3 linked regions of the Macaca mulatta genome follow. The protein of the gene in region 1 interacts with the protein of each later gene in a pairwise test. Links are inferred from orthologs where the notes say so. Each region holds a gene or a part of one and is shown on either strand. Other genes may lie near its edges. The genes, in order: RFX6, SS18L1 and FRS3.

What was found.
Region 2: the proteins of RFX6 (region 1) and SS18L1 interact in binary tests that used the Homo sapiens proteins (3 or more experiments, as listed by UniProt). The two-hybrid records come from large-scale screens. The link is inferred for Macaca mulatta from reciprocal best matches to the Homo sapiens genes RFX6 and SS18L1.
Region 3: the proteins of RFX6 (region 1) and FRS3 interact in binary tests that used the Homo sapiens proteins (3 or more experiments, as listed by UniProt). The two-hybrid records come from large-scale screens. The link is inferred for Macaca mulatta from reciprocal best matches to the Homo sapiens genes RFX6 and FRS3.

What each region holds. Positions count from the first base shown.
Region 1 is NC_133409.1:21,955,583-21,957,974, forward strand, and holds part of RFX6 (DNA-binding protein RFX6), read left to right. Parts: intron 1-850; coding exon 851-1,063; intron 1,064-2,392. UniProt on the Homo sapiens protein: Transcription factor required to direct islet cell differentiation during endocrine pancreas development. Specifically required for the differentiation of 4 of the 5 islet cell types and for the production of insulin.
Region 2 is NC_133415.1:114,953,579-114,957,230, reverse strand, and holds part of SS18L1 (calcium-responsive transactivator), read right to left. Parts: intron 3,254-3,652; coding exon 3,109-3,253; intron 1,924-3,108; coding exon 1,744-1,923; intron 329-1,743; coding exon 164-328; intron 1-163. UniProt on the Homo sapiens protein: Transcriptional activator which is required for calcium-dependent dendritic growth and branching in cortical neurons. Recruits CREB-binding protein (CREBBP) to nuclear bodies.
Region 3 is NC_133409.1:140,394,436-140,398,187, forward strand, and holds the start of FRS3 (fibroblast growth factor receptor substrate 3), read left to right. Parts: upstream 1-1,315; 5' UTR 1,316-1,346; intron 1,347-3,263; 5' UTR 3,264-3,393; intron 3,394-3,634; exon of another isoform or gene 3,635-3,752. UniProt on the Homo sapiens protein: Adapter protein that links FGF and NGF receptors to downstream signaling pathways. Involved in the activation of MAP kinases. Down-regulates ERK2 signaling by interfering with the phosphorylation and nuclear translocation of ERK2.

The sequences.
Region 1 (2,392 bases):
TAAATTTTTTCTGAAGTTGAAGTCTTGCTATGTTTGCCCAGGCTGATCTCAAACTACCAACTTTAAGCAGTCCTCTCTCCTTGGCTTCCCAAAATGCTGAGGTGCCTCCCAAAGGTGTGAGCCACCACCCCTGGCCTGAAGTTGTCCTCCTAAATACCACACATGTTACAAAAAAAAAAAAAGAAAAAAGAAAGATAGGTAATATCATATGTTTGAGATCTACCTTAACAGCCCCAAGGAGGAAGGTTCTGTCTTTTGAAAACATTTTTAGTGGATAATATTTCTTCCAGATAACTAAAAGCAGATTTTAAAGATTGGGTCCAAAACGGGCCAATAAAAATTGGAAGTTAAGGGAACTGGAGAGACCTGTGACCTTGAGTCACCAAAATAGGCTTTGTGTGTAGACATCTTTGGTGTCTTTCTCCTAAGGGTAGGCCAGTCTTTGTCTCCCCTAAATATGCATCTATACATGAAAGTAGTATTTTTGTGACAGGTGATAGTGCTTTTTTCTTTCTTAGTAGGTAGCTCTTGTTAATTTAGGTAAGGGAAATCTGACAGAGGTGTAATCTGGTCTTAAAGTTAATACAATTATTATGTATTATGCTATAATTATTATATTAAATTATGTATGATGCTACAATTCTTACGTATTAAAAACAAAAAAACAGCACAGTAAACCTTATCTATATACAAGCGCAAATCCAGTTCTGTAGCATATATAGATAGATACACATGTAATACTTGCAGTTTGATATCTTTAGCACATCACCTAATTACTTTGTCACCTTTTTGCTTTCTGAAAGTTCTTTGTAGTAAGTTAACAGCAAATTCTCAACATTTTCTGTTACAGGATACTATGGAAGCAACATAAACTACCCAGAGTCTCATAGGCTGGGATCAATGGTGAATCAGCACGTTTCCGTCATCAGCAGTGTTCGCTCACTGCCCCCCTACAGTGACATCCACGATCCACTTAACATTTTAGATGACAGTGGTAGAAAACAGACCAGCTCGTTTTACACAGACACATCATCTCCAGCTGCATGTCGAACTCCAGTCCTAGGTAAATTATTTTAGTAGTTCTTGGAAACATTTTAAGAAGTCGTTGACCTCAGGTATGCAGCATTACTTGAGGGAGATATGCTGAGGTGAATTGAGCAAGCATGTTCCCACGGTTGATTTATTATTATTACTTTGGATCTAAAGTTATATTTTTTGTATCTGACTACACAGTAACAGGTTTTCATTTCTTATTGTGTATATCTCTATTATGCAACCTACTGCTAGATCTGTTATGTTTTACCAAAAAATAGCTGGTATCTATTAAGGAGGCAAAAAATTAATATGACCTGTCAAATGCAGTCTAAAACTGTAAGTTTTAAAAGGGCAGTAATAATATCTTTTTCTCACTCTTGATTAGTGTTGGACCCAGTTGTAGTGGCAAGAGGTATCTTTAGGTCTCATGATCTCCATAAGTATCCAAAAATCACTCCAAGATTTAAAAGAACTGGTGTCCTGTGATGGGTGCTACTAGCATTCTCTCATTCTTATTTAAAATGTGATTCAACACCTCGAGAAAATGTTGCTATTTTTATTGCTCTCTGACATATCATGTGAGTAAAAATAAGAAAAACAGTGTGCTTGCCATGAAGCCTCCTGGAATCTTCTTCCAACCAGGTTACCTTTCTTAATCCTTGTCTATGAAGAAATTCTGCAACTGGTACTAGTTGCATCACCAGCACCTAACAAAATGTCTGCCACATAGTAGAAACTCAATAAGTGAGTGAGTGAAAAAAGGAATAAAAACTATATATATATATATATATATATATATATATATATGTATAGTCTATAAATAATTAGTATAATTAGTATGTTATTAGTAATAACATAGGTTTAGTCACTATAGATTTAGCTTCTAAAATTACTAATAAGATTTCACAGGGCAAATATATATTCACTAAGTATCAAGGCAGAGTGTTAATATTTATATGAGATGGTTAAAATCTTCCAATGAAATTGATTTCAGACTAGCATAAGTAAAGGGCATTGACACACAACTAGAGCATAAGGGAAAATGGAATCAATTTCATCTCTCCTCACTCAGTGTACCTTTCCAATAATTCAATAGGAAGTACTCCTTCTCTTCCTGTCACTGTCACACATGCTCCCTGAGCAGAATCTAGCAGCTCATCTCCTGCTATCTGCAAATGGTCATTGCTTCTAGGTTACTCTAATGAAGCAGAAAATTCCACTTCAGGAAGTTTTCTCACCATGAGACTAAAATGTACTGTGTTGCTATTGTTACTATTAGTTCTGTTTACCTGAAGAGATAGTGGAAGCTTTGACGAAACATAGGTTTAAGAGTAGGGTGGAGTCTAAGCTTTAGTTG
Region 2 (3,652 bases), on another chromosome or scaffold:
ACAGCAGACCCTCCGCGGGCCACACCCCAGCCCGCACCCCCAGTGTCCACACCAAGGCCCCAAGCCTCACTCCCCCAGGCTCCCCACAGACAAGCACACAGCCTGGCACTTCACCACCCGGGGCGGTCAGCCGTGCCCGAGACCTGGCCTGGCCGGGCGTTACCTTGCTGGGAGGGCCGGTAGGGCGCCATAGGCCGCTGCCCCATCATGCTGCTCCCCTGGCTGCCCTGCCCCATCATGGCGATGGACGACTGGCCCTGGTAGTGCTGGCTGCCGCCCTGAGCCGAGCTGTAGTGCGACGTGGCCGCCTGCTGCTGCATCATGGAGACTGCACGACAGGACAGAGGCCCCACATCACCCCGGGAAGCCTCCCTCCCTCCCTCCCACACCCAACTACCTCCTGCGCCCAGGCAGGTTCCTCGTTATTTTCCTGTGCTCCGCACGAGAACGCCACCCTCCCCTGAAAGGCCTGCACTGACGCCCTGCATGCTCAGACCCGCTGCTTACACCGACTATTTGAAAATGTGCCGACGTGCAGAAAACAGGGAGAGCCCCTGGGCAGGAAGATCCAGTGGCTTCCACAGCCAACCACCACCTTTCCACCTCTCCTCGGACACACAGCTCCCGTGACAACCCCACTTGCGCCGTGGCTCGAGTCCTGTTCTCCCCAGTCCCTTGAGCTGGCCTCAGGGGTCACACTGTCCCCTCCCTAGTCCTGTTCTCCCTGGTCCCTTGAGCTGGCCTCAGGGGTCATACTGTCCCCTCCCTAGTCCTGTTCTCCCTGGTCCCTTGAGCTGGCCTCAGGGGTCACACTGTCCCCTCCCTAGTCCTGTTCTCCCTGGTCCCTTGAGCTGGCCTCAGGGATCACACTGTCCCCTCATTAGCACCTGTGCAACCTCGCGGCCCTTCACGCTGGCCTGTCGTACACGTCCCCTGCTCAGAAGCCCCTAGCGAAGCGCCATCCAACAGAAATGACACGAGCCACACTTTTTAAAGTTTCTAGTAACCACATCAAAAAAGTAAAAACAAACAGGTGAAATCCATTTTAATCGTGCATTTTATTTGAGTCAGTATGTCCAAGACAAACGCTTAATACTCAGTTATTGTGAGAAAATCCTAAGGAGGTCCTCGGCACCCTTTTTTGGCAGTAAGCCTCTGAAGTCCATGTGTCTCCAACACTCAAGAAACTCAACCAGGACCGACGCCCACGAAACGCGACCGGGGCCGATGCTCATGGAACGTGATGGGGACCTGCTGCTTCTCAACTGCCCAACACCACACGTGGCCACCATGGCGGATGGCCCCATTCTCGGGCTCCTGCTGCCCTGCAGAAAGGCTGGGGCCTCTGGCCCAGCGCTTCTGGCCCCTTGTCTTCTCCACTGAGGTGCCTCTAGCCAGGCTGTTCCCTCCCTGGGGAACAACTCTACCCCCACCTCTGAGAGCCCAGTGCTCTGTCCAGACCCAAGGCCAGTGGCCCCCGCTCCCTGAAGCATTCCCTGAGACTCCATGGGAAACACTCCAACCCTTCGCAAAGCTGGGGGACAGGAGGGGTTGGCTGTGCACCCACTGGTGCCCATCCCTCCGGAAGCTCTCAGAGGCGGCGGCCAGCCCTGATTCACGGGCCCCTCTCCCGCAGCACCCAGCAAGAGGGCAGCTCCCCAGGGACACATATCCAACATGCATGTGTCAAGGGTCTTGGAGGCAGGCCCAGGCCCCCCGGGGTTGCAGAGGCAGAGGAGGTACCTGGGTTGGACTGCATGTTGATGTTGGTCCGAGACACGTAGTTGCCGATGGTGCCTTGCCCCTGCATGGGGACGCCCTGTGAGGCGGGCCCCGCGTGGCTGTAGCCAGGCCCCGAGATGCTCATGGAGGTGGTGGGTAGCGTGTTAGGCGCCGTCTGCTGCATGGACACATGGCTCGGCCCTGGCAGGGGGAGCAGGGAGTGGTGTCAGGCGCTGGGGAGCCAGGTCACCACTTCTGAAGGTGAAGATGCCCCAATTTCCCTTCAAATGATTTTGGGAAGAGATTCTATCAACATCACTATTAATGATTAAGTGACTAAAAAAGAAATAAGTGGCCTGGTGCAGTGGCTCATGCCTGAAATCCCAGCAGTCTGGGAGGCTGAGGTGGGTGGATCACCTGAGGTCAAGAGTTCGAAACCAGCCTGGACAACATGGTGAAACCCCGTCTCTACTGAAAATACAAAAAAATTAGCCAGGTGTGGTGGCAGGTGCCTATAATTCCAGCTACTCAGGAGGCTGAGGCAGGAGAATTGCTTTAACCCAGAAGGCGAAGGTTGCAGAGAGCCAAGATCATGCCCATTGCACTCTAGCCTGGCCGACTAGAGCGAGACTCTGTCTCAAAACAAAAAAAAAAAAAAAAAGAAAGAAAAAAAAGCAGCATACATGCTAGCAATGTACAGCATGCACTGTTTATTTGTTGTTATTTTGTTATTTTCTGAGACAGGGTCCGGCTCTGTCACCCAGGCTGCAGGGCAGTGGCATGAACACGGCTCACTTCAGCCTCACCCTCCCAAGCTCAAGTGACTCCCCCTCCTCAGCCTCCCAAGTATTAAGCAGTTTGGACCACGCGTGGGCACCATCACACCCAGCTAATATTTTTATTTTTTACAGAGACGAGGTTTTGCCATATTGCCCAGGCTGGTCTCAAATTCCTGGCCTCAAGCAATCTGCTGGTTTAGGACTTACAGAGGGTTGGGATTAAAGGTCTGAGCCACCATGCCCGGCCTGTTATATTACTATTAATAGTCTCCAAACGTTACTCATGCTTCTTAATTCAAAGACAGGAGCATTCCATTGTTATTACACAATCCACCTGGAACCTGGCAACTTGCATTTGAAATGAATGGAGTATGACAGTGTCAGAAAGAGCAGGCGATCTGGAGCAAGGGCTCATCCCAGCCACATGGCAAGCTCGCTGCGGCCCTGAGCCTGGGCGATGGCAGCTGACCTGTGGCTACCCCAGGAAGAGTGGGTCCCCATGCCCAGCCCTGTGACGGGTGGGGTGCCCCACCATGGCAGCTGCCTGCCCAAGGGCTGCCTTGGTGGCCTTGTGACCAGGAATGCCCTCCTCCCCCGCCGCACTCACCGTTGCCAATCTGGCCCTGCAGGAGGGAGGAGGGTGGCAGGCCCGTGCTGATGGCGTCACTCAGGCTGCCCTGGGAGTGCAGGCCCTGGCTGGAGCCACTCTGAGTCAGGGCTCCAGGGCCCAGGTTCATGTTCTGCGTGGGCGGCTGCAGGCAACAGGAAGTTTCCAGGGAAAACGGTTAATTCACGGAGAGCGACCTCCACAAGCCAGGCCAGGGATGAGAGGGCGCCTGAGATGTGCTGCCACATGTCATGGCCACCTGGTCCATGTTCGTAATCAACAGCCATTGTCACAGCCAGGTGACCGCAGAGCACCAGGCCCAACAGCCAGGTGACCTCCGAGCACCAGGCCCAGACGGAGACGGCATAGTGAGTGTCTGGGTGAGCGTTCGGAACTCTGCTAGTATCGAGTTCATCCACACATGCCTGGGTTTGAAAAGCTGGACCTCCTTCTCCTGGGACAGCAGGGAACCCCTTCCCCTGTCCAACCCAATGCACCCTGTCCTTCTCAGGCGCAGCTGGCCGGCGCCTCTGTGCTCCCCGTC
Region 3 (3,752 bases), about 120 Mb from region 1:
CTGAATCCCTTGTCTTGCCTCTGTGCAGGTGCAAGAGGGCTCAGGAGCTGGACATCCCCAACCCCCGCTGCCCTGAAGGGCAGAGCCCGAGAGGACTTAGGGCTTGGGGAGGTGGAGGGATGGGAAGATTTCTGGGGACAGTGGGAGGGAGAAGGAAGGGGAGTGCCCGGTCCCGCCGAGTGCCCTCTCGGTAGATCCCCAAAGCTTTTCTAGAACTTGGCGGGCCCGCCTCCGGGGCTGGGACGCGGAGTTTCCCGAGTCCGCTGGGCTTCCGGGTCTGGCTGCTGGGATTTTAGGGGAGTGGACCAGGACTTGGCTGGGGTCTCACCATCGCTGTGCGTCGCTGTCCGGGCAGTTCTGGACCGACTCTGCCGTCAGGCCCCTCACCCAGACCCCACCCGAAGGCGTCAGCGCCCGCCCCCGTCCGCCCCCGCCGGCCCCCGCCCTCACTAACAGCGCGGCCCTTCCTCTCCCACGCCCCAGGGGTCCCCGCTCGCCCCTCCCCTGCTGGTGGAGAGGGGCGGCTCAGGGAGGGGCCTGGAGCTGCAGATTGGGGGCGGGGGGGAAAGCAAAACAAAACCACATTTGTGGGATCTCAGGGTGGAAATGTGCGGGCTCCACGGCCTCTGCCATGCAGGTGCAGGGGCTCAGGCTGGGACTGCGCCCGGCGGGCATCCAGTAGACGCCGGGAGCCGCGTTTACGCTGGGTTCTCAACCACTCGCTGAATGGAAACGACTCGCCGGGCGCGCAGCCCTGTCCCTCTGCAGTTCCCAGGTCTCCCCAAACTCTCCCTCTGGTCTCCCAGCCCCGCCCCTCCGCGTGTTTCCCTTCAGTTCTCTCCCCCTTGTCTCCAGTGGTCCCCCTGGCCCCTTCCCCTCCCCTCAGCCCTCTTCCGGGTTACATCGTCTTGCCTGTCTCCCTTCAGGTCCCTTCAGACCCTCTCCCCTTCCCTTCGTTTCTCGCCCAACCCTCCATCCCCTTTTCGCTCGCTGCAGCACCCCCAACTTTGGTGTCCTCAGCCCCGCCTCTGCGCCCCGCCTCCGCCGCAGGCTCCGCCCTTCCCCCCCGCCGGGCTTTCTCAGCCCCTGGCCAGGAGCGCCCTCTAGCGTCTGCGCATGCTCACTGCTCCCGACTGCAAAGTCCTCCAAAGGGACCTTCTAGGCTGCGTGCCGGTCGCCCCCGCTCGGGTCCGCCCGCCCGCAGCGTCTCGTTGGTGCTGCCGGTGACCTCCGACCCCGCGGCCGCGGGGCGGGGCGGGGCGGGGAGGCCTTAGCTCTGGGCGGGCGGCGGCTGCTGCAGCGGGACCCGGGAGCGGGGCCCGGCGCCGCCCGGGCCGCGGGGCGATGTGAGTCGGGGCGCGGCGGGGCGGGGACGAGGCGGCTTCACCGAGGCCGCGTCGCGCCGCGCCGCAGTCTCCACTCCCTCCCTAGGAAGCCCCGGGCAGGCGGGCGGCGGAGCACCGGGGCTGGGGGCGGGGATCCGGGGAGAGCGCGCACCCAGACCTCTTCATTCCTTACGGGCGTCTAGAAATTCCCCTGACAGTCCTGCAGACTCTGGCTCCCCTAACCCACCTCTACCCTTTCCGCCCTGGACACACCATCGCATCTCCTGGAGCCCTCAGAACCCCCTCACTCGCTCAGCAAATCTGCTATGCGCACGGACCCAACATTTCTCTTGGATGCCCCCAAATGCTTCCACTGCCCGGAAATTCCTAGGATCCCTCATATCCGTATTCTCCTTGCACTATCCAAAATGCCCACATCCAAAATTCTTGCTCATGTTTCCCCAAACGTCCTCATACGTTTTCAGCCCCCACACCCCATCTAACTCCTGCCCCTGATCATACCTATCCAAGACCAGAGGCCTCTCGCCATTTCCACTCAATGCAGTCCTTCCTCAGTGAGCTATGTGGTCCATCCTGATATCTTAAGGAGAAGAGATGGTGATAGGGAAGTGCAACCCCTCCCCCATCTTGCACCCTAGAGTTCTTGGTGCCCCCACCCTCCCCCCACCCCGTCTGTGGCTCAAGCCCCAGTATTTTCCCAGCAACCTGTCTTTAGTCCTTGCACACCTCCCTGAGCCTGCTTCTTCCTTCCAGAAAATAAGCCAGACCAAGGGGATGGGGTCCTTTTACCTGGAAGTTGTCCAAGGTTGCAGGGTGCAAGGGGCCCTGGGAAGTATTGTTTCTCCAGAGCAGGAATGTGGAATGTCCAGGGGTCTGCAGGGTCCTGGCTTGTTGACGTGTTTACCTTGGGCTCAGAGGCCCTGAAATTTTGGCTTACTGTTAACATTTATGTTGAAATTAGACCTTTCAGAGCTTGGGGAGCAGAAAATCTATCAAGCTTCCAAATGCGAAATTGAAGCAGCCTGTCTTGGAAGAGGAACATGTCAATTTTAGTGATGTTTGTCTTACATTTTTGCCTTACAAGTTATTTAAGCTAGAAGCTCCCCAGTTTATAGATGGTTTCCCCAAAAACTAAGACCTTAGGTGGGAGTTGGGGGGTTGACTTAAGTCTCCCAGATACTTAGTAGCAACAAAACTGACCGGAATATTGGTTTCCTGAATCTTAAACCAGTGCTCTCTCTACTATATCACAGTGTCCTTTTGAGAAAGCTCTTTGTAGAGTTAAAGTTCTCTGCAAAGGTAAGGTGATGGTTTTGATGTTTGTTGTAACAGGACTCAGAGGGAGACACCTAAAGTGACTTAAAAGGCCTTGGCCAGGCGTGGTGGCTCACACCTGTAATCCCAGCACTTTGGGAGGCTGTGGCGGGTGGATCACAAGGTCAGGAGATCAAGACCATCCTGGCTAAGATGGGGAAACCCTGTCTCTACTAAAAAAAAAAACAAAAAAATTAGCCGGGCGTGGTGGCGGACGCCTGTAGTCCCAGCTACTGGGGAGGCTGAGGCAGGAGAATGGCGTGAACCCAGGAGGCAGAGCTTGCAGTGAGCTGCGATCGCGCCACTGCACTCCAGCCTGGGTGACAGAGTGAGACTCCGTCTCAAAAAAAAAAAAAAAGAAAGGCTTTGGGTTGTCTTAGACTTCAAACTCATTGATGCTCTGGGAGTCTGTCCCTCTCAGGGCCCATGGGGCTTGGAATTTGTGCTCTCTTTGCCCTTGATTTTACTTTCTTCATTGGTGTTTTTGTCCCATTAGGGCTGAAACACATATCCAGGTGGGATGGACTGCCAGGTCAGTTTAATTAACAGTTGGGGGTGAAGATAGAAGGTTTTATTAATCAGTGTCTCTGTTTCCTATGCTAGGTGAGCCCCAGGTGTATCCCAGAGGGATCCAGGTGACTTCTCTGCAGACTGTTTGCCATGACAGCCCAGCAAGGACAGGGGGAATAAAGTGGGAACCCTTCCCCATGCCCTTCCCAATGGCCTGGGTGAGGTAAGAGCTGTGTATAGGAGTCAGTTTTATGGCGTTTCCCAAGTTGGGAGGAACAGAGGATACAGGTCACCTGGTTATTCAAAGCTTTACCATTCAGCAGGAGTTCTAGAAGGATAGCCAATCCTACAGACTCATTTCTTGTGACAAGTTGCAACCCCTTAAAACTTCTGCTTGGTATTGGTCCATGCGTTTCTTGTTCCCTTAGGTCATTCAGGCCTGGGTGGTGTCCTCTTCATTCTAGGCACAGCCCTGACTGTTGTGACATATCATCCAAGTACCAGAATCCTGGAGGGAAGAGCCAAATAGTAACGCCTCTGGTCTCCCCTTCAGACAAAGGGAAGCAAACCCAGCATTTTGTG